Linked DNA regions of Mus musculus. The protein of the gene in region 1 purifies or fractionates together with the protein of each later gene. This does not show direct contact. Links are inferred from orthologs where the notes say so. Each region holds a gene or a part of one and is shown in the gene's direction. Other genes may lie near its edges. The genes, in order: Ddb2, Cct7, Xpc, Cops4, Cops7a and Cul4b.

Region 1 (3,500 bases):
CTCCTTTCAAAACAGGGTTTCTCTGTATAACAGCTCTGGCTCACCTGGAACCAGCTTTGTAGAACAGGCTGGCCTCAAACAAACAGAAATCTACCTGTCTCTTTCTACTCAATGCTGGGATTAAAGGCATGTACATCACTGCCTGGCTTTAGCTCTTACTGTATTTGTTACTTTATTTGAGACAGTCTATTAGCCCTGGAACTATATATAGTCCTGAAACTCACTATGTAGACCAAGTAGGCCTTGAAATCGGAGATCTGTTCTGCCTCTCAACTGCTGGCTAATGGTGTGTGCTCCTATTCCTGGCTTGGTTGGTTGGTTGGTTGGTTATTTATTTATTTGTGTGTTTGTGTGTGTATGTGTGTGTATGTGTGTGTGTGTGTGTGTGTGTGTGTATGTGTGTGTATGTGTGTATACATGCATGTATGCCTTGTGTACAGGAGGCCAGAAGAGGGTATTGGATGCCCTGGAGTTGGAGTTATATGCAGTTTGAGCCATCTTATGTAGATGCTAGGAACTGAACTCCAAACAGCAGTAGGTGCTCTTCACCATGAAGCCATCTCTCTAGCCTCTTAATAAATGTTAAGCCATAGGTGTTACTCCCCACTTTTCTAATTTGTAGGGGGTGGGGAGGATGTGTGTAGTTGGGGGTCAAACCCAGGGCCTTGTGCATACTAGGCAAGTGTTCTTACACTTCCTAGACCTCCAGGCTCAGTTGTGTCATCACTGCTTAAAATGTCTGGAAGGACAGGAAAGAATACAGATAGTTCCCTGTCCACCAAACATCGCTTTTTTTTGAGCTGAAGCTCTTATAACAAGAGCATGCTGCGGTTTCCAAGGTTTGAACGTGAGAATGTAAGCCAGAAATGTGATAAAGTAGGGCAGCATGAGGGAGTTTTTATGAAGTCAATGTTTGCATCTTAATTTTGGGGGTGGCTAGGCTATTCAGATATTTGTGTGTGTTGAAATTCGAAGAGCCGTGTACCAGAACCAGTCATATTTACTACCTCTTAATCGACAATATAAAAGTCAAAATAAAGCCTTAAAAACAGATATTCTAATGTGAGGTATCTAAGCTGGCCTTGGTGTTGCTGCCTCGGTGCTGTCTGGGTGCCCAGACCCGGCCCCGCACTTCTGGCCCATCATTACTCACTGGCTTTTTCCTTCCTTATGTTAGATTGGAGCTGGAGGAAGCATCACTGGGCTGAAGTTTAACCATCTCAATACCAACCAGTTTTTTGCCTCCTCAATGGAGGGAACAACCAGGCTGCAGGATTTTAAAGGCAACATTCTCAGAGTTTATACCAGCTCAAACTCTTGCAAGTGAGTAGTTAACTTGTAAGGGAAATGGCTTCTAAGCTCTAGATGCAGTTTGCTGAGAACATACCCAGTTCTGTTTCTGTCACTTTGGCCCAGCACAGGGAAGACAGGGATCTTAGCCACTTTGCACCATTCCTTTTCCTCCTTAGATTCTGGTGGCTCTGACTTTGACCTGAGTGGGTCGTTACACTAGGAAGGCATTCTGGATCCTTAGCTCTTGTCTTTGATGGAAGGGCTTAATTACTTCTGTAAGTTATAGCTGTATTAAATTAGACCTTTACTTTCACAGGATAAATCAACATGGTATTTTGCTTGGAAAGGTATTTACAGAGTAGAGCAGGAATCAAGGACAAGTTTAGCCACGTGTGGTGGTATTTACCTTTAATGGCAGCACTTGGGAGGCAGAGGCTTGTGGATCACTATGAGCTCTAAGTCAGCTGGGTCCGTCTAGAACTACATAGTGAGGGCCTATCTTAAGAAAAGAAAGAAAAAAGGGGGGCAGGAAAGAAAAAAAAAGAAGTGCAATGTTATTGCCCTCCATTTTCCGGGATGTAATGGCCTTGCTGTCTCCTTGGTGGCAGTGTTAACAGGTGGAAGAATCCTCCTAAGAATAAGTGGCTGGAGAAATTACACATGCAGGCCACTTTGATGTCTAGCCAGAGACACAGTTTTGCTAAGGATGATATGTGGGTGTGTGCAGTGAGTCTAAGCAGCTTGGTTATTATTCTGGGCTGTCCCATAAGGTTGAGAACAACATCAGGAGAGGGGACTAGATGGACTTGGAGTTCTCTTGGCTTCGAATCAGCATCCATGAAATACCTGCTTCTTGAGTCTCTTTTTTCTCACATAGTTTTCGAGAGTAAAAAGGTTCTGGTAGTCTTTGATTTTTTTTTTTTTTCCCTAAATGCTCAGAAGGGGACAGATGTTCACGTCTAGCCAGCTTCGAGGAGCTCCGCTGAACAGTTCCTGTTTGCTTTGCCCTCTCCTTTGGTGCAAAGACTGAGGAGTGATGAGTGGGAATAGTAAATAAAACTCTTCATTCCTGGGCTGTGGGGAGCAAGCTAGCCTTGTAATTTGTATTCTTGCTCTGAGGTTCCAGGAACTAGCTGAGGATTCTGGGCTCAGCAATAACTGGACACATTTCTGAGTTCTGTCAACTCTTTCTGTACTCTTTCACAGCCCTTTTCTGCAAGGTAAACAAGGCTGAAAACCCTCCACTGGAAATTTATAGTAAGACAGTTACTCACTGATTCAACAAATACTTGATACTGGAGTTGTCACAGTGACTAAACAGACTATCTCAGTCTCGAAGGGTCTTACAGCACACTCTCTCCCTCTAGGGTCTGGTTTTGCAGCCTTGATGTTTCTGCCAAGAGCAGAGTGGTGGTTACAGGAGACAATATGGGACATGTGATCCTGTTGAGCACAGATGGCAAGGAGGTGGGTACTGTGTGGCCCACGCCCCATCCCCTCACCCCTCTTTGGTTCAACACCTGAACCAAACTTTTCTCTGTAGCTTTGGAACCTCCGAATGCACAAGAAGAAAGTAGCCCACGTGGCCCTGAATCCCTGCTGTGATTGGCTTCTGGCCACAGCCTCCATAGATCAAACAGTGAAGATTTGGGACCTGCGCCAAATTAAAGGGAAAGACAGCTTCCTCTACTCACTGCCTCACAGGCATCCTGTCAATGCAGGTGTGACATCCCAAACCCCATCTTCCTTATGTGCCCTGTCTTTCTCACCACCAGCCATCAGGTCAATGGTGTGTAGGACCCTTTCTGGCTCCGACCGCTCCTTTGGCAGTGGAGTTGCCATGGTAGTTTTGTTCATAGTTCAGATTGATCTCTCCTCCCCTACCTAGAAAGGAAAGGTATTTTGGAAGATCAGGATACCAGGGGCTGAGGCTTCCTTCAGCTTAAGGGCTTTTCACTTTGTCAGCTTGTTTTAGCCCAGATGGAGCTCGGCTCCTGACTACTGACCAGAACAATGAGATTCGGGTTTACTCTGCCTCCCAGTGGGATAGCCCCCTGAATCTGATCTCCCACCCTCACCGCCATTTTCAGCACCTCACACCCATCAAGGTGAGTGACAAGAGAAAGGGATCTGTCATTATGGGAAGGGGACAGATCTTTCCATGTTGGGGGAAGGGTCACATACACAGCCTACAATCTCAGAATAAC
Region 2 (4,124 bases), on another chromosome or scaffold:
TGGTTGTGAGCCACCATGTGGTTGCTGGGACTTGAACTCAGGACCTCTGGAAGAGCAGTCAGTGCTCTTAACCACTGAACCACCTCTCCAGCCTTAAGTATGTGGCTTTATACAGAGATGAATCTCCAGTGCCTAGGACACAGTGGCTGCTCAGTAAAGGTTACTAAACAAAGAACTCTGCCCAGCTCTGCTGTCCTGAACAAGAGAATGGCCAAAAAAACCACGAGAGCTTTGCTAGGATATTTTTTCTCAGTTGGATTTGAGTCCCTGGATTCTTTAAACTTGCCAGAAAGGCAAGTAAATGTTGATGGATGGAAGCTCAGGTCTGTTAGTCAATCCAATTGCTGTGTCTATAATTGATCCTGTCTATGGTCCAAATTACAGCTCAGACAGAGCTAAGGGGGCTTGCAGCTTTTTGTCCTGAGTGTAGGTACACTTCATCAGATGGATAACCCCCCCCCCCCCCCAGGAAGCCTTCTGGATTAACACCAGGCAACCCTTTCCACAAGCACACCCCTGTCTGGCATTTGATGTGCTTATCTAATAAGCTTCGGGTATATGCATGTGTTCACTTAACGCGTAGGTGTGTACATTTATGTTCGAGTTGTGTAAGTGGGTGCCTGTGCGTGTGAGCCCATATGTGTGTTCCTGCCTATAAGAACGCTCACATCCTCCGTTCTGGATCTCTAGCTGTCACCAGGGTCGCCTTCAGTGGGAGGAAAGCTGAAAGCTCTTGTTTCGACGGGGAGGGGTGGGGTTGTCAGGTTGTGCCTACTCACTGACCCGGGAACCAGCATCCACCCGCTGCAGCCGTCTAGTCCCTGGATCTGGGCGGCCCAAACTCGCGGGGTCCCCAAGGTGACCCGTGGCCCCCAGCCCGGGAAGCGCGCACGCTGGATTCCCGCCCCGCCCGCCTGTCCGTCGCCGCTCACCGTGGGCCGCGACGCACGTGGGCAGCCAGAGCACGAGACAGCACCAGCCCGCGGCGCCACGGCTCATCTCCAGGGCCCGTCCCGCCGCCGCCGCCGCCGCCGTCCCGCCGCGATCCCTCGCCCGACTTTAGCCTGACAGCTGCCACGGCCTCCCTCAGGCCCGCTCTCCGCGCCGGTTGGAGCACAGAACGGAGGCCAGCGGCTGATTGGCCGCCACGCCTGTTCGTGTGGCCGCACTTTCCTCCTCTGCGCCCTAGGCCACTTCCTATTGGCCAGGAGAAGTGGAACCGGGCGCTGATTGGCCAAAACTCTTAATAGCAACTGCAGTTCGCGGCCCCGCCCCCGCACTCCTCCTTATAGACGCGCCTCCCGGAACCTGCGGTGGGCGGCTCGCGGGGTTGCGCGGGATCCACGGCTCTCCTCCCCAGGCAGAGACGGGCCTCGCGCGAAGGGGCAGGCGGCACGGCGCCGCCTCGGCCGATAAGGGGCGCTACAGAGCTAGAAGCCGACCCGAGCAAATTTCCTGCGCCCGAGCGGGCCGCGCACCTGTGACCCGGGACACTGTTCCCAACTTCCCAAGCTACCTGTGAAACTCACGGAGCTCCCTCGCCACGGAGCTGAGCAGGTGCAGTGAGATCACTCACCTAAGGTGCTTCTCCTAGCCGGTGTTCAGTACTGATAGCTCATTGCACGTCTACCATGGCGTCTGGGAGCGCGGGCTGAGGCGGGACCTTACCGCACCTTACAAACCAAAAGCACTGCGAGACTCGATGACCCCCGCCAAAGCTAACGCGAGTTCCTAGAGCGTCCCTGGACCTCCGACTCCTCTAGCCGGCTACCTCGGGAGCTAACCATAGAGTGGCGGAAGTGGTCCGGCCCCTTCCTCTCCCGGGCTAACGTCTCGCCAGAAGCTTCTGGGCATTTCTCCGGCGCGGAGCATTGTGGGCTTGGGTGGGCGGCCCCGAGGCGGACAACTGACGAGTTGCGGGTACCTGAAGCCGCTTCCAAGATGATGGTGAGTGTCTCTCCGCGCATCCGCTGCCATCCACGACCCTGCGGCCCTGGCCCGCCATGCGGAGTGTCTACAGTGGCTCGTTTCCGCTCCCCGGCCGGAGGCGGCCTTGATCCAAAACTGAAGCTGTTGGCGAGAGCCGAATGGGGCTCGCGATGCCGCTGGGCCTGGAAACCATGGATCTCATGGTGCTTGGGACCACAGACCTCTTGTTCAGCCTGTTCCCCGTAATGGAGGCTTGGGTTTTCGGAACCGAGTGTGTGTTGAGCTCTGTACCTCTACCATAAGGCCGGGTTACATCGCCCTGGGAGGTGCGGAAGTGAAGGCGCGAGCTTCTAGGCGCACAGAGGCAGCGTGAGGGTCTTTAGGTTGGGCCAAGTGACGCCCTGCCTGGCATTGTGGTCGTTTACGTTCCCGCATGTGGAAAGACAGAATCCTTCGTTCCTGTTGGAACCTGTTCGTTGGGGGCATTTTTAGTTCTCCCGAATGTACTTGGTGCTGGAAAAGGGCAATTGATGTACACAGTACCAAAGATGGGACGACCTGAGTACTTTAGGCAGGAGAGTCTCTTAAAGGTCTGCCTGTAATCCTCCTGCATCACCCTTTATCCCCGACAGCGTCAGATACCTCCCCTGTTCCCCTGTGATAAACCTGAGTTGTTAGTGAGCAATGTCAACTTCCAAGACAGAATCCTGTGCGTTTGGCATCAGCACACTCGTTAAGTTTTGCTTTTTAGTGTCAATCCTTTGTCTGCCTTTTGCAGCTTCTTCCTATGCGTAGATGCCAGACAGACTTGGAAACCTGTAAGGTCCTCCCTCTGCTACCAAATTACAGCTTCTCCTCCGAAGGAGTCCCTACAGAAGCATGTCCATGCTCCCTGACCCCTAGCGCTTGAAATTGATTTGGTCGGCGAAGACCAGAGCTGAGGCATAAATCCATGAGTCATATGTGCTGCAGTAAAATATGCATCATTGCTGCTGATATGACCAGTGGCCCAGCATTGGCCAAAACAAGTAGCAAACCTTTTATCAAAGGGTCCCAGACCATCACATTTGGGTTTTACCTAAATTGATGATTCTTGTTTCTGCTGCTGTGCTGCATACTTACAGCTTATGAGCTGCTGGTGACTCTTGTTTCCTCCCATCTTGCTGTAGCAGTTCTGGGATTACAGATATATACCACAATGACAGACTTGTAATGAGTTCTGGTGCTTAGGCTTATGCATCTAGCAGCTTTACCCCTGAGCCACTTCCAGGGCCTCCTCCAACTAATTGTTTAATAGATAGTATTGACTTTTGTTTTATTTAGTGTATGTGGGTGTTATGACTACTGTGTGCCTGGTTACTATGTACATGTAATGCCCATGGAGGTGTCAGATCTCTGGAACTAGAGTTACAGATGTGGTGACCCACCTTGTGGATGCTAGGAGTGGAGGGAACCCCAGTTCTGGAAGAGCAGCCAGTGTTGTAAGAGATTCTTCCAGTCAGTCCCTTAAACGATCTAAGGAAAATGGAGAGGAAGATTAAGACGAAACACTAAAGCCTTTTATGGTTCTAAGGGTACTAAGCCCTTGTGAAGGAACAAGAAGAGTGAGGTGGAAAGTAAGGAATGGTTCTAGGCAGTACTATTGCCAAAGAATGGCAGAAGGGGACCTACCTTGTAACCATAGCTTGGCTTACTGTACTGCTGCCAGCCTTATTTTCCCTGTGGCTGGCCTTGATATCACAGCAGTCCTCCTGCCTCCACCTCCCAAGCACGCACTGGGATCATAGCTGTGCACAGCCATGCCTGGCTTTAGATCAGTGGTTCTCAACCTTCCTAATACTGAAACCCTTTTATATAGTTCCTTGTGTTGTGGTGACCCCCAACCATAAAATCATTGCATTGTTGCTTCATGACTAATTTTCTGTTGTTATGAGTTGTAACATAAATACCAGTGTCTCCATGCCTGTTAAAGGGCCATTTGACTCTAAAAGTGTCACAACACACAGGCTGAGAACCACCGCTCTTGACTGTCCTAAGGTTTGTTCCAGAAGGACCATGAGACTGTGGGACCTTTGGGAAAGCATTTTCCTTCTAGATGGAACTAAGGAGTGCCCCCCAAAATGCTGAGAGTATAGAGAAGCCCTTTCTTGTCACGAGACCCTGGATACTCTGGGAAAAGGAAGGTATTTACTCTT
Region 3 (3,084 bases), on another chromosome or scaffold:
GGAGACACTCATGCATGTGGAGGCCCAAGGTTAATATCTGGACTCCTCAGTCATTCCCCCACCTTATTCACTGAGGCAGGGTCTCTCAATCAAACCCAGAGTTAGGCCAGGCAGTGGTGGCGCACGCCTTTAATCCCAGCACTTGGGAGGCATAGGCAAGTGGATTTCTGAGTTCGAGGCCAGCCTGGTCTACAGAGTGAGTTCCAGGACAGCCAGGGCTAAACTGAGAAACCCTGTCTCGAAAAACCAAAACTAAACCAAAACCAACAATAACAACAACAACAAAACCAAGGTTAGCTCACTGATAGCTAGCCAGCTTGCTCTGGGATCCTGTCTCCACTCTCTGAGGCTGGAATTACAGGCAGGTTACCATGCACACCCAGCATTTATGTGAGTTCTAGGGACCCAAACTCTCAGACTTGTGCAGCAAACGCTTTAACCACTAAGTGTCTCCCCAGGCAGGGAGACTGTCCTAACCTGAATTGCACAGATCCAGGTGTCAGAGCATCAGGCTCCGCCTTAATATTTTTCTGATGATGTCATTGCTTCACCTTCCCTTCCTTTACTTTTGTCTGCAGAAAAAGGAAAAGCGGGCGCTGGGGAACTGGAAGCTGCTGGTCAGAGGACTCCTCATCAGAGAGAGGCTGAAACTCCGCTATGGGGCCAAGGTCAGCATGGGGCCTTTGTAGACAAAACAAACCTGGGGTCAGATTCCTAAGATTACCACTCAGCTGCTGGCCCAGACTAACGTGTGACATCACGTTCTAGGTGGCTTTATATCAGGAAGCCTGCCTGCTGACCTCAGCTAGCTGCTCCTGGCCTGCCTTGTGTCCTGTTACCCTAAGCTGTTACACTGACACTGAGTTCCATGTCAGCAGTTCAAGTGTGTTGGACCTTTTGTGTCTGCACCTCTTGGCTTCCAGGACTCTCAGTACTGTGACCAGCTCTCAGCCTGCACACTCTACATATCTGTAGCACCTATCCACAGTACTGGGTATGGGGGAGGGCTTTCATCCCTGTATAGGCAGAACTTAGAACAGTTGAGGGATGGGTACTAAGTCAGACCCAGCAGGCCATGCTCTGAATGTTCTTTTCCCTTCCTGTTGCCTCTTGGTCTGCTAAAGACATTTTAGTCATGTGTTCCCTTGAATACCGTTAGGGACCCCTTCATCTGGCTTATTCTCACTTGTTCTTGCCTACCCATTTACTGTCTTACTGTCCATCCAGGACCCCTCCCCAGCTAACCCAGCCAGCCTCTAGGGGTACTGCCTTAGGCCCCTTAGTGCTGAAGGTTGGTCATAAGTACTGAACAGATGAAAATACCATGCATTTGTGTAGAGTAAGGTGGCATGCACAACAGCAGCTGTCTGCCCCTTAACTTGACTGAGCTGCCTGCCTGGGCATCTTCTTTCTACCAGCAGTTCTCACTTACGTACCTGCTTGGACGAGCTCCTAGACTGGAGAAGGCCAGCAAGGCAGCCTGGGCTCCCAAAGTACCACCCACATGCACCCTTGCCTTCCAGGAGGCCCAGGCAGGCTCAAGACTGGGTTCTTCAGGCCCTTATATAGTCAGTTATCTGCAGCTAACCATTAACTGTGGCCCCTCCACTGTCTTTCCCCAGAGCGAGGCAGCAGCTCCCCATGCTGCTGGAGGCGGACTCTCTTCTGATGAAGAGGAAGGGACCAGTTCACAAGCAGAAGCAGCCAGAGTCCTGGCTGCCTCCTGGCCACAGAACCGAGAGGATCCAGAACAGAAGTCCGAGTACACTAAGATGACTCGGAAGAGGCGGGCGGCAGAGGCTTCCCACCTCTTTCCGTTTGAGAAGCTGTGAAGCCAGTGTCCTCCAGCCAGAGAAGGCAGACAGCAAGCAGATGGGCTGAGGACTACAGGCCAGATGGGAGCTGTGCAGCAGATCAGTCTGACACCAACCCAGCCGGATCCCCATAGGCTGGTGCTGGTGAGCTGCTGTTTGGACCACTTTCCTGGGAGATACCTTCGGATCCCTGGACTTTGGTATCTTTAGAAATGTGAGTTTGTTTTAGAGGGTCTTATTTGTTACCCCAGCTGGCTTCAAATTCAAAATCGCCCTGACTTATACTGAGGGCTGAGATTACAGGCGTATACCACAATGCCTTATCTGTCCTTTATTTCTGTTTTTAAATAGAACTCACTGGGAAATTATGGGTACTGGAGCACTGAGACAAATCTTCCTTTAGTGCCGTTCACAACGCTTGCTTTCCTCTCCTTCAGACCCAGGGCATTTGCTTTTCAGGCCTGCCTTCCTGAGTCAGGTTTCCAGTACTGCCTGCTGCTCTTTTGTCAGAGAACGCAGGTCACCTCTTGTCAAGGCACTTTTGGGATTTTACACTGACAGAAGACTAGAACAAAGAGCTAAAAATCAAGAATGAGAAAAGAAAACAGAATTATGAAAATGTTCATAAAAGATTAGTTTTTGGTTACATTTTATTCAATTCTGGATACATTTACTCTGTACTGATGATACATTTTCTAAGCTGCTGTATGCTCTTCTCAGGAAAGAGTTCTTTTATAGGACCTCCAGGAAATAAAGCATTTACCTAAAAACCCCTGGCTGCAAATTTATTTTTCAGGCCTTAAACCAGCTAAGAAGGTTCGGCTAACAGATTTCAGTGTTTGGTGAGAAAGCACAGGTGTTTTCACAGGGGCTGGGAACTCCTCACACACCAAGGAAGCGTTTTATGTGTGGCCATATTTGATATTGCTTCATCTTTGAGTCTTTAAAATGTTGAGTCACTCTTACCAAGGCAAACAAACAAAACACTTGGGGTATGACTCATGTTGGACACTGGAAGAGAAACAGACTAGGGTCACCATGGAAACTGCACTCTTGTACTTTCTGCACCAGAGCCCGACAAGCTTCCCAAACAGGATTTCCTTTCTGGGGTTTTGGGTAGGCATGGAGGTGTCCCTCGAGATGCAGCCTATTCTGGGAGGTGTCAGCTGTGAGAAGGCATGATGGGAATGACATGTTAGGCTTGGAAAGTTTGCCTGCTTGAGAACAGCGTGGCAGTGCCTCAGATGGGAAGGAAACAACAAAGAGGTGC
Region 4 (3,945 bases), on another chromosome or scaffold:
GCTGGCTTCCAAGTCGATAGGATCAGGGGTATAGACTTGAACTCCTGATTCCCTAGCCTCCACTTCTGGAGTGCTAGTATTACGGTGACCACCATGAAACCTAGCTATTTATTTGTTTATAAGGGGAATGTGCCAAAAGCAGTCCACTATGATCATAAACTGTGCAGTTGAGTTTCCTCCCAAGTGGAAAAAACGCAGACATCGGCACACTTAGATGCCAGTGACTCATCGTGGGAGGAGCATATTCTTGATCGTGGTATACTCTTTCCCAGGTAAATGATCTGAAGAACCAGCCTGTCTCCATTTCAGACTTAAAAGCCATCTTATATAGTAAAGACAGATTAGGTTCCTTTCTGTTTACCATTAAACCTCTGTTCCAGACAAACTAGGTTCTTTCTTGTTTATGACTAAACCTTTGTTTGTCAGACATTGGGCTATTCTCCACCTGTAACCTTAACTACAAAATGTTCTGCACTGCCTGTTCCAGGAATAGAAGTCATGTCTTTGCTTCAAGAAGTGGTTTATAACCACCTTGGAGCCTTATCTGCTGCATAGGTTCCATGACCACCTATGACTACCTTGTTATGGCTACCTGTTGTGTTACCTTGTTTTGCTCGCCGCCTAGTTTGCCCGCCAAATCTCCGATATGGAACCCCTTACCCCTGAGCTATAAACACCTTGTCTTCCTTGAATCCAGGGCTGACCTACTGAACTCCACCTTAGGGGAAGGCAGCTTGTGTACACGAATAAAAAAGCTTGCTTTCATGGATTGCTTGTTGTAATTTGTTGTAAAATGATGATTTGGGTCTGTTGTATTTTTCCTCTTATCTTTGGAATTGACATTCCGTGTGTGTGTGTTGGTTGGTTTTTGTTTCTTTTTTCTTCAGTGTTGGACTATAGTGAATTGGAAGTAACTCTTTACATAGGTCGTTTAAGTGATGCCTTAAAGAACGGAGCGGAGAACGATAATAATCAGTCCCGGAACTTAGGGAAAACGTCGTCCTTTGACTTGCCGGGCCTTTACTGAAGTTGCACAAAGTACACGCCCTCAAGTTCTTCAGCCAATCCCAGGTCGGAGCGTGAGCGCCTGCGTCTCTCGGGAGACCTGGGCGGTCCTCAAACCGGAGGAGAGGAGTCTGGTGTCACTCAACTCGGAGGGCGGAGCTAATTCCTGCTCCCCTATCCGGCGCTCTGGCCCACAGAGACGCTGCTCTATGGCACCTCGCGTCCCCTCTGCCCGCCTCCTGGAGGACCACGCTCGTTTTCTTCTTGGCAGCGAGAGGTCCCGCAGCCGTGGCTGAGCTGGAGGAAAGATGGCGGCTGCCGTGCGACAGGATTTGGCCCAGCTCATGAATTCAAGCGGCTCTCATAAAGATCTGGCGGGCAAGTGAGTATTTCTTAGGAGTACAGAGGTAGGAAGGAAGCCGCAAGTTTATCTTCCCAGAGGCGACGGGCGCTCCGGGGCGTGAGGCTCGAGCTAGGCCTGACTCAGGGGGGCGGGCCTGAACTCGGCTGTGGCGGTAAATGTTGGGAGCAACAGAAAGCTGTAGGGACGGTATGCTGGGGTCCTGACCGTCCCAGGACCCCAGGTGGCTGCCAGCTTCTTAAGTCCTTGATAACGCCCTCTGCGGGTTCTTTTGGCTTCTGGAAGCGAGGTAAGAAAGATGACGGCTCGCCCGGCGGTGGGCGCCTTCCTTAGAGTCTCTTCGGCGAGCCCGACACACCGAGTTTGACTTCGGTTCGCTGCCGCCCCTGCCTTCGCCGTGTTGGAGGTAAATTTATATTCTGGACTTTGATGCAGACTTTTATTTCGAAGAGATGGCTTTCCAGGATTGATAGGGGCAGAGGAGGTATGGATGCTGTCATGTGGTCCAGAACTTCTCTCAGTTCATAGCGTGTGTGGGTCCTTATGTTCTGGATACTCGCAGTCTGTCACCAACTCTGGAGAAGAGAACACAGGCAGAATGTCCTCGGGCTCAGGATGTCTAGAACAGTGATATTTCCAGGGTCTGCTAAGGAATTTTGTCGAAACCTTAGGGTGCTTAGAGCCACGACAGGTCAAAAATTGGGACATGTTTCAGTCCCCTCAAGCAGTTGTTGAACAGCTGTAGTCTTCTTTGTGTAGATTTTTCACAGTTTTGCCTTCTAATGAAAGTATGCCTTCAATTGGCCCTAACATTTACACCTCACAGCTGAGGGCATGTTGATCTAATTAATGAAATATTCTTGCTCAAACCTGCACATTGAAATGGTGTGTGTGTTGTGTGGCCGCTGTGCTGGGCTTTTCTGTGTAGAAAGTACAGTCTACCTTATTAGTGGGAAATTTAGTTGTATAACCTGGGCTTAACTACATCATTCTTTATTTTTCCGCTTTAAAAAAATGGAAGGGTAATCGTGAGGCTTAGTCTTATCTGATTTCAAAATGAGCATGTGTCTATGTACTAATTACACTTCAATAACTGAGCACAGTCCCTGGTATCTGGAAAATGTCATAATGTTGTTATGAAGCAGTCAGTAAGTACATACGACTTATTCCAGGGGTTGGAAATAGTTCATTTATGTCTTCATCGTTTGGTTGTTTTTCCATGTATTAATACTTTTATAGCTTTGGATAGAAGTCAAACTAGCTTATGTATTCCCTTATATTTCCTTTGTTTTTTTCTCTCTTTATTACAGAAAATGTAAGTTCATTAATTATCAGCTAAGATGCAGGTGTTAGAACTTGAAAATCTTGTGGAACTTCATTACTATTTATCTCTCTAGCCCGGAATTAGAAATGAACAGTAGCATGTCTCCAATAGGGTGTTTCTTTTGCCTGTTGTAGCTAAATAAGTACACAATTGAGTAATATAAAAGTGACACCCCCCACCCCCCACCCCGGGATTCTGTATGTTGCCTGGCCTGTTTTCTTGATCTTACCTGGTTCAGTTACGCAGATTAATTTGGCTAGCAGATGCACTAGGGCTGGCCACGTGTAGATAGATACCTGGCAGTTGGCTGGATCTTTTATTCTCACTACATGGTTTAGCTTTGGCTTTTTTTTCTGGGACTTCCTGCATCAGAGTGTTCTAACAGGGTGAGAGTGGAAGCTGTAAGGCATAAGGCTAGTCTGACAAGTCTCACATCAGTTCTGTAATACCAATGAAAGCAAGTAGCGAGACCAGTCCAGATTCCAGGGGAAAGGAAATGGAATATATCACTAACTCTTTAGAAGCAAAGTGGTATTTTGCAGGAATATGAATGGAGGGTGGAGTGCCAGCCTACCAAGTGGATTTCCTTAAGAGGAAATGAAATACTTTGCTTGATAATGGATAGCCCATGCAGTGTTAGTTGGCACCCTCTCAACATTGCTTTCTTTCTTAAGAATTAGCTTATTATTTTTATTTATGTGTATGTGTGCCGTGTGTGCAAATGCCTATGGGTGTTCAAAGAGGGAGTGCATCCCCCTGAACCTGGAGTTACAGGTGGTGCTGAGCCACCTGGGTGGATGCTGGGAATTGAACTCAGGTCCTCTGGAAAAGCAGCAAGCATTCTGTTAACCACTGAGCCATCTCCAGGCTTCAGTGCTTTTTTTCTGAGGATATTCTTGGCCTTCCCTTTAGGTATTTACCTAGTACTATCTGGTAAGAATGTGTCAGAATTTACTTTCATAACAACACAGTTCTGCCAGCCACATACTTTATGATGTACATATGTCAACTCATCTGTTCGTTTATGGTTTTTATGTTGGGAACTGAGAAACAAAGGCTCTCACTTTAAGAAATTATAGAGTACAAGATTTCTAATGCTGACACTTTCTGTTCCATGCAGTGTAGTGTTCAAGAATTGTTGGTTAAATCAGTGACAAGCCAAGGGCTAGGGTTGGGGGCATGACGTCTATTTGAACCCAGGTTTTTTTCAAAAGCTCACTTTTAACCATCCAGATCATATTGCCTCCCCTCCTCC
Region 5 (3,989 bases), on another chromosome or scaffold:
CTCCCAAGTGCTAGACCACAAGCATGCACCACCATCCCTCGAAGGAAGCGACGGAATCAGACAGGTATGCACTTGGACCCTATCCATATTTCTTTGTCCTACAGGTTAGTTCCAGAACTCAGCCCTTGAAGGTCCAATTCTCCTGCCTCAGCCTACTGAGTGATAGGATTACAAATCATCTAACAGTAAACCTGGCTTTACCTTAATTTCCTCCTTATATGGTTTCTGTAAGGATTTTTGTTTTGTTTCATTTTGAAACCTGGTCTATTTAGTGGCGGATGATCCAACTCAGAAATCCACCTAATTAAAGGTGTGTACCACCATGATATTTGGGAGATAGGGTCTCTCACACTGTAGCCCGGGATAACCTCCCAACATATAGCAATCCTCCTGCCTCAGCCTCCTGGATGCTGGGATTACAAGTGCCCGGCTGAATCCTTTAACTTTTAAATTTCCTCATCTGCCTTGGTTCCACTCACACTTTTCTCCTTGCTAATTTGGGATCCAAAGACTAAAAAAATGACTCAATATTTATTTGTAGTAACCATGGCCAAAAGTCTGGTCATGCGATCTGAAACTTCTATGGGAAGAAAACCTCAAAAGCCTAACCAATACACTTCCTTTTCCCCCTTAATCACTCGGGGGTTTGTTTTCTTTCTTATTGAGACCGGTTCTCATGTTGCTCAAACTGGCTTGGAATCTGCGATGGAGCTGAGGCTGGTTTTGAACTCCTGATTCTCCCCTACCTCTACCTCCAATACGCCGGGGGGTGGGGTGGGGGCATGTGTTACCACTTCCTGCCCCCTTACCCTTTAAACTTTTCTTCTGCTCTTTAAAAAGAGTGGATAAGTTGTTGGACTATTTATAGCCTCGTTTCTCTCCTTTCTCCCTTATTTTTTCTTTCTGCGAATTCTCGCCTTCCGCTAACGCTCACGTCGCCGCAGGAACTCGGGGCCGCCATCCTGCCTTGTCCTGCAGCTCCCGGGAGGGTCGCTCCCCCGGACCTCCGCAGAGCCGAGGTCCTCTCCGCACCCTGCATTCACCGCTCTCGCACCCATAAAGATGCACGGACAGAGCGGAAGATGGGCGCCGCTCTCGCGCCTCCCGCGGTCCGGAAACGGAAGCAGGCCGGAGCCGCCCGGAACCCGCCTCCCGAGAGCGGAAGTACGGCCGGAAGCTGGCCATAGAAGCGAGCGGCTAGAGCGGCCCTGCGGGGAGGTGGCAGGAAAGGCTTGGGAGCCGCTGCCGGAGGTGACGGAGCGGCCGCCCCGCCCCGTGCGCTGGGAGACGAGGCTTCCAGGTAGCCGTCGGTTGCAGTCGGTCCGGGGGTACGACCTGGCCTTGGGCGCAGACCCCGGCCGGTCCCGGGGCTGCCTCTTTAAGGGAGGGGGTGGAGCCGCGAGTCAGGCGCGAGGAGGTGAGGTCACGTGGGGGCGGCCACGTGCACGACTCGCGTCCCGAAGTGGGGGTTCGTCGTCGTCCGGTAGACACCATGTGCTATCTCTCCCTTCCCTGGTTCATCAGTCTTGGAACTCAATGGGGTGCACGTGGTGGGGCTTGGGACTGGGCCCGGGATGACGGAGCGGGTGGGCGTGGCAGCCAGGATGGGGCTGGCTTGGAGGAGCCCTCGAGTTGCCTTTTAGACCTCAGGACCCCACTTACTCACTGCGGATGTGGCGGGGTCCCTCTTGAGCGTGCAGCTCCCGTCCCTTCGAGCTGACCACCCTCGCAGGGTCCAGGGACCTTTAGTTTCACGTTCCTCTTTCCTTGCAGCTCCAGAAATCTTGAGGCCAGAGCCCCGCACCTCGGCGCAGCCATGAGTGCGGAGGTGAAGGTGACAGGGCAGAACCAAGAGCAGTTTCTGCTCCTTGCCAAGTCGGCTAAGGGGGCGGCACTGGCCACACTCATCCACCAGGTGCTGGAGGCCCCTGGTGTCTACGTGTTTGGGGAACTGCTGGATATGCCTAATGTTAGAGAGGTGTGTTGCTTGCCTGGGTAGTCCCCAAAGAACGTTGGGACCAAAGTTAACTCTTGAGTGCTGGGCTCGTTTTTTGTACCCAGTAACCACTCAGGTGATCGGGGTACCGATAATTAGCTCTCAACATGGAAAAATAAATCAATCAAATAAAGGTCTTCATTATCTTACAGATAAAGGGTCTGTAAACTTAGTGCTCCCTCCCTCTGTACCCACACTTTGAGTCAGGATTTCACTGTGTAGTCCTGGCTGCCCTAAACTAGTAACTATGGTCTAAGGTGGCCTTGAATGTGTGGGAAATCCCTGCCTATGTCTCATGCATAATTTTTTTTGTTATTTAAAAATATGGAACGCTTTACAAATTGGAGTGTCGTCTTTGCTCAGGGGCCATGCTAATCTTCTCGGGATCGTTCCAGTTTTAGTATATGTGTTGCTGAAGCAAGCAGAAATCTTTAATTTTGAAGCAAAAGAACAAGTCATTAAGAATACCACTGATAAACTCCAGCTTGTCCACCAGTATGATATCTTTTTGTGTTGGTTTTTTTTTTTTTTTTTTTTTCAGGACAGGGTTTCTCTATGTACTATAACTGTGTTCTGGAACTCTCTCTGTCGACCAGGCTGGCCTTCAACTCAGAGATCCTCTGCCTCTTCCTCTCGAGTGTTGGGATTAAAGACTTGTGCTACCATGCCTGCCTAGTGATACCTCTTAATAATCCTGTCACTAACATTTGGGAGGTAGAAAGAGTTGGATCTCTGAGTTGTAGGTCAGCCTGGTCTACAGATTGAGTTCCAGGACAGCCAGGGCTACACAGAGAAACCCTATCTTAAAAACAAAATAAGTCAGAAAACCTGGATCAGAAAACCCTCAGTTTTCTCTTTAAAATGGTGGTGAGAATCTAACTGCTGATAGAGTAGTTGCTTAGCACTTGTGAGGCCTTGGCTTCGATTTCGGAACTTGGGATGCTGAGATAGGGGACCACAACTTTTTAGATCAGCGTGGGCAACTTAGACTCCATCTCAAAAAGGAGTGGGGGTCTTTTCAGTGAAAGAGCCCTTGTCTGTAGTTTGCAAGGCTCAGTATAGGTTCAGTTCTCAGAACTGCAATGAGGAAAAACCTAAAAAAGCACACAGTTCCCTTCACGGTTACAGAAGTAACATTGTGGGGAAGTCTAAAGTCCCCTGAAATCAGAAAGAATGAGCATATTGAATTATGCCATGGTACCCCACCCCACCCCCAAAGTGTCACACATTCTGATTCATTTAAGGTAGAAAATGAAGATGCTGTCTTCTGCCCTAAGACGGTAGCAAAGCTATGAACACAGTAATGAGAACCACTCACAGAAATGGCTGCGTCAAGAACTTAGAAAGCATAGAGCAGGTGGATTGCCACTCTCGTGACACCAGCCTGTCACGAGAGCCTGACCGAAGTGTGTGGCTAAACTGAGCCAAGCATTAGAAGACCTTTGGTTGAATCAGGATAGAAAGTTACTTTGACTGCTGTTTTACAAAACACTGGCTTTTGTTGCTGATTTTATCCACAGTAAACTGAAGTATATCGTTAGGATGAAGTAGATGCCAGTGAAAGAGATCAGATAAGTGAATGAAAATATATGTCAGCAAGTCAGCCATTTATCAGTTATTTACTGCGAGGGCTGCAGCTCTGCTGGGTCTAATGCCTTGTTAAAAGACTGTTAAGTGAGAACCTACAGGGATGGTATGCCAGGATAAGTGGGGGTGACAGGAAGGGAGATGCTGTGGATGAAGTAAGCCCTCACTATGAGGACATTGCGAAGCAGTGGCCACACTATACCCTCTGGGGGCCACACAGTTTACGATGTCTGGTGTACGCGTGTGCACCTGTAATAGTCACAACACTGAAAGTTTTAAGCTCTGAGAGTAGGAATTAGCTGCTTAGCGCAGCAAAGGGCCAGAGTAGAGATGAGCAGCTGAGGGACCAGGATAGGTACTGTTGGGATGGATGGGGTAAGATCAGGGCCTTCTTGTCACTTCCTCC
Region 6 (3,500 bases), on another chromosome or scaffold:
TATTCTTAACTGCTCAGCCATCTATCTCTCCAGCCCCTCAAAACAAAGTATCTTAGTTTGTCTCATTACCTCTCACTACTTAGCTCAGTTTGAAATGGAATGCCTGTGCTGGTAGATTTATTTTTGTCCTGCTATCTCTAAAGGAAAGAACAAAATTTTGAAACTTTTCAATGTGAGAGTCAAAATCTACAAGTATGGTACTTAATTAAGTAAAAATTTCCTGTCATAAACCTGTCCTGGCAAATTTCCATTTGAAGGAAATCTCAAATAGAAAACATAATGCTCAGTTATGTTTAAGACTAGTTTTAAAGGTAGGTTAAGGGGGATCATATTTGGTTCTGCAGTTTAAAAAAAAGAATTATGTTTATAATTTGTATTTAATATCAGTATGTGGGATATTCTGTATTAAAGACAACTATGTTTTTATATTACACATATGAAACATTTTAAAATCTCCTTAACACCTGTCTCATGGATTCATTGGATAGTGTTCTTTTTCTCAAAAAGATCGATAGATGCTGGCAAAACCACTGTAGGCAAATGGTAAGTCGGCAGTACTTGAGTTCAGAAACATTGAGGTGGTAGAATGTTTTTGATAGCTTTCCTGGAAGAATTGGGATATAGCTGAGTGGTAAAGTCTGGAATTTATTCTTTATATTAATGCAAGTAGAAATCTTGAAATCCACTTTCCACCTTCTAAATACCATGGGTACACGTTTAAAATAGCTTTACCCCCTAGCACTGCTGCTAAGGAAGACTAAGTGTACCTTGGATTCCCTCTTTTTTTTTTCTGAGACAAGATCACCTTATGTAGTACAGGCTGGCCTGAAATTCAAGATCTTTCTGTCTTACTTAGCCTCTTGAGTTCTGGGATTATAGGCATGCACCCCATGCCTACCTCCAGTTTTTCTTTTCAGTTAAGTAACAAAGATGTCAGAGGACCATCTTAATTCTCTGTTCTCTAGAAACACCACAAGGATTAATAGAATAGTTTAAAGATAAATATATGGGACATCTCAGATACATTTATTTATTTGTTAAGTTGGATCCTAGTAGTCTATTTAAAACACCACAAGGATTAATAGAATAGTTTAAAGATAAATATATGGGACATCTCAGATACATTTATTTATTTGTTAAGTTGGATCCTAGTAGTCTATTTAATGTAAAATCTTCCAAATTCTCATTTTAAGAGCTAATACTGAAGATTCAAATTTACAAAAATTGCTTGATTTTTTTTTCCTTCTTATTTGACAGATAATGATCAGGAGCATTTTTTTGTTTCTGGATAGAACTTATGTTCTTCAGAATTCAATGCTACCCTCCATTTGGTAAGGATGCCAGAAGATTATTATGAAAATTTTGTTACATACCATAGTCTTAATTATTATAACAAAAGAGAACAAGCTGTATTCAGAATATTCTCCTAAAAATTCCCATTTGGATCCTAGCATTTTGGGGGGGGTTGTTTTGTTTTGCCTACTCTAATGTATTAGCAGATAGCTAACCTCATAGTGTATGAAGACATTTCTTCATTAGGTATGAAGATCTTAAAGTTTACTCTAGAATTTCTGTGCCTGAATCTTAGAGCTGCTGCTCACTAACGTTTTGCTCTTTTATTTTTCTTGTTACTTTACAGTAAAAGTCTTGTTTGTTTTATGAAAGTAAGATAGCATAATGTCTTGGTCCTTCAGCAGGTGCTTAGCATACTTTATTAATGGGGAGGGGAATTGAGAGAGTAGTAGAGGCAGAGAGAGAGAGGAGAGAAGTAGAGGCCACACATGGAGAGAGGGGGGAATGGGGAGGAGGGGAAGAGGTGAGGGGACAGAGTGGGAGCAAGAAGGTAAGAGCAAGAGCCTGATTTTAGAGTTTTGAAGCCATTTATGAATGACCAAATAAGCTGCTCAATGCCAGTATAGTGGAAAGTATTTTGTCTTTGAACTAATTTTATTTCTAATTTCACTAAGAGGAAATAAGACACTAAAACCTAGTTATGGAAGAAGCCAGGAATTCAGCTTCAGTTCTCATTTAAGACAAAATGGGTTTCCTATATGCTTTAATAATGTTATTCAAAATTAAATGTGGATTTTTTTTTATAATTACTACTTCAAAGTCTGAGGACCCAGACTTTGATAAGTCAGCCTGTGCACATGTGGTATTGCCAATTCAGATGATACTTTTTTGTTTTTAATTTTAGGGACATGGGATTAGAGTTATTTAGGGCTCATATTATAAGTGATCAAAAAGTACAGACAAAAACGATTGATGGCATCCTTCTCTTGATTGAGAGAGAGCGGAATGGTGAAGCAATTGATAGAAGTTTACTTCGAAGCCTTTTAAGTATGCTGTCTGATTTGCAAGTAAGTTGTACTTAACACTCACTGTGCTACCTACAAATCTGATTACTGTTCATAGTTTGTCTGCAATCCATGGAGTGTTGTTCAAATGGAGTTCTGATGGAAGTCATTCAGTAAATACTTAATGATTAAGCAAATACTTTTGTTTTCCCTTTTTTCTAGATTTACCAAGATTCTTTTGAACAGCAATTTTTGCAAGAAACTAATCGGCTTTACGCAGCCGAAGGTCAGAAGTTAATGCAAGAAAGAGAGGTATTTTAAAATGTTTAATGACTCCAGTGTCTCTTACAATAGCCATTTCCTTGTAGAACACAAACTTCCCTTTGTATTTCTGTTCCCGACATGGCCATGCTCTTCTCTCACTTAGGTGCTCCTTTCTCTCCTCTCTCCTTAAAGGCCACAATGCTGGATCATAAACTCTACCTCTAACTTTACATATGCTTCTCCCTGTCACATTTGACGGGGCTCTTACCTGGATCTTTTGGACTTGACATTTTCTGAATGATTTAAGGGGAGGAAAACAATAATATAAAAAACTATCTTTGTAGGTTCCTGAGTATCTTCATCATGTTAATAAACGCCTAGAAGAAGAAGCTGACAGACTTATTACTTACTTAGATCAGACCACCCAGTAAGTATTACATGCTCAGCCTAATAGTCTTAAAACTGTTGATAAAACACTTTAGGCATCTTAAACTTGTAGTAATTTTCACGTGTGATTTAGTCTTTAGCAGTTGTTTTTATAATGTGAGCTTAAAGTTATTATCTTCCCTGGCTAATTAGATTGAATCAAGGATTTGATTATTGGTTTGGTGTATGTTTAGTGTGTAATTTTAAAATAATACTAGAGGTTGATGGGATCTTGAAAACTTGGTGTTTTTGAGTCAGAGTTTCACTAAAACCCAACTTGCCCTGGAACTCGTGGTCTTCCATGCCAGGCTCCCAAATTCTGGGATTATAGGCATGCATCACCATGCCCGGCTTGTAAAATCCTTAGACTGATTAAAATTCAGGGAGTGGGTGTTCAGAGAGAAACTGCTTCTGTACTTTGTAAATCTCAGCAACCAAGTGGTTTCATTAAGCAGCGTAGATAGCTGTTTCACCTTCTTAGTAAAAAGCAAGAAAACTTGGAAAAAGTACTAG

What was found.
Region 2: the proteins of Ddb2 (region 1) and Cct7 purify together in Homo sapiens (co-immunoprecipitation; 3 studies listed by BioGRID and IntAct, counting the BioPlex papers as one, with this or other methods). This does not show direct contact. The link is inferred for Mus musculus from reciprocal best matches to the Homo sapiens genes DDB2 and CCT7.
Region 3: the proteins of Ddb2 (region 1) and Xpc purify together in Homo sapiens (affinity purification with western blotting; 5 studies listed by BioGRID and IntAct, with this or other methods). This does not show direct contact. The link is inferred for Mus musculus from reciprocal best matches to the Homo sapiens genes DDB2 and XPC.
Region 4: the proteins of Ddb2 (region 1) and Cops4 purify together in Homo sapiens (affinity purification with mass spectrometry; 7 studies listed by BioGRID and IntAct, counting the BioPlex papers as one, with this or other methods). This does not show direct contact. The link is inferred for Mus musculus from reciprocal best matches to the Homo sapiens genes DDB2 and COPS4.
Region 5: the proteins of Ddb2 (region 1) and Cops7a purify together in Homo sapiens (affinity purification with mass spectrometry; 5 studies listed by BioGRID and IntAct, counting the BioPlex papers as one, with this or other methods). This does not show direct contact. The link is inferred for Mus musculus from reciprocal best matches to the Homo sapiens genes DDB2 and COPS7A.
Region 6: the proteins of Ddb2 (region 1) and Cul4b purify together in Homo sapiens (affinity purification with mass spectrometry; 11 studies listed by BioGRID and IntAct, counting the BioPlex papers as one, with this or other methods). This does not show direct contact. The link is inferred for Mus musculus from reciprocal best matches to the Homo sapiens genes DDB2 and CUL4B.

Annotation. Positions count from the first base shown.
Region 1 is NC_000068.7:91,216,567-91,220,066, reverse strand, and holds part of Ddb2 (DNA damage-binding protein 2), read left to right. Parts: intron 1-1,177; coding exon 1,178-1,323; intron 1,324-2,660; coding exon 2,661-2,760; intron 2,761-2,836; coding exon 2,837-3,014; intron 3,015-3,258; coding exon 3,259-3,401; intron 3,402-3,500.
Region 2 is NC_000072.6:85,450,181-85,454,304, forward strand, and holds the start of Cct7 (T-complex protein 1 subunit eta), read left to right. Parts: upstream 1-1,324; 5' UTR 1,325-1,941; coding exon 1,942-1,947; intron 1,948-4,124. Other genes in the region: Pradc1 (protease-associated domain-containing protein 1 isoform b precursor), read right to left, coding at 933-999. UniProt on the Homo sapiens protein: Component of the chaperonin-containing T-complex (TRiC), a molecular chaperone complex that assists the folding of actin, tubulin and other proteins upon ATP hydrolysis.
Region 3 is NC_000072.6:91,488,805-91,491,888, reverse strand, and holds the end of Xpc (DNA repair protein complementing XP-C cells homolog), read left to right. Parts: intron 1-578; coding exon 579-668; intron 669-1,436; exon of another isoform or gene 1,437-1,622; coding exon 1,623-1,832; 3' UTR 1,833-2,584; downstream 2,585-3,084. UniProt on the Homo sapiens protein: Involved in global genome nucleotide excision repair (GG-NER) by acting as damage sensing and DNA-binding factor component of the XPC complex. Has only a low DNA repair activity by itself which is stimulated by RAD23B and RAD23A.
Region 4 is NC_000071.6:100,517,164-100,521,108, forward strand, and holds the start of Cops4 (COP9 signalosome complex subunit 4), read left to right. Parts: upstream 1-1,145; 5' UTR 1,146-1,313; coding exon 1,314-1,387; exon of another isoform or gene 1,388-1,772; intron 1,773-3,945. UniProt on the Homo sapiens protein: Component of the COP9 signalosome complex (CSN), a complex involved in various cellular and developmental processes.
Region 5 is NC_000072.6:124,962,713-124,966,701, reverse strand, and holds the start of Cops7a (COP9 signalosome complex subunit 7a), read left to right. Parts: upstream 1-1,189; 5' UTR 1,190-1,300; exon of another isoform or gene 1,301-1,417; intron 1,418-1,435; exon of another isoform or gene 1,436-1,550; intron 1,551-1,773; 5' UTR 1,774-1,816; coding exon 1,817-1,978; intron 1,979-2,314; exon of another isoform or gene 2,315-2,419; intron 2,420-3,989.
Region 6 is NC_000086.7:38,548,697-38,552,196, reverse strand, and holds part of Cul4b (cullin-4B), read left to right. Parts: intron 1-473; coding exon 474-543; intron 544-1,257; coding exon 1,258-1,331; intron 1,332-2,197; coding exon 2,198-2,360; intron 2,361-2,519; coding exon 2,520-2,609; intron 2,610-2,905; coding exon 2,906-2,988; intron 2,989-3,500.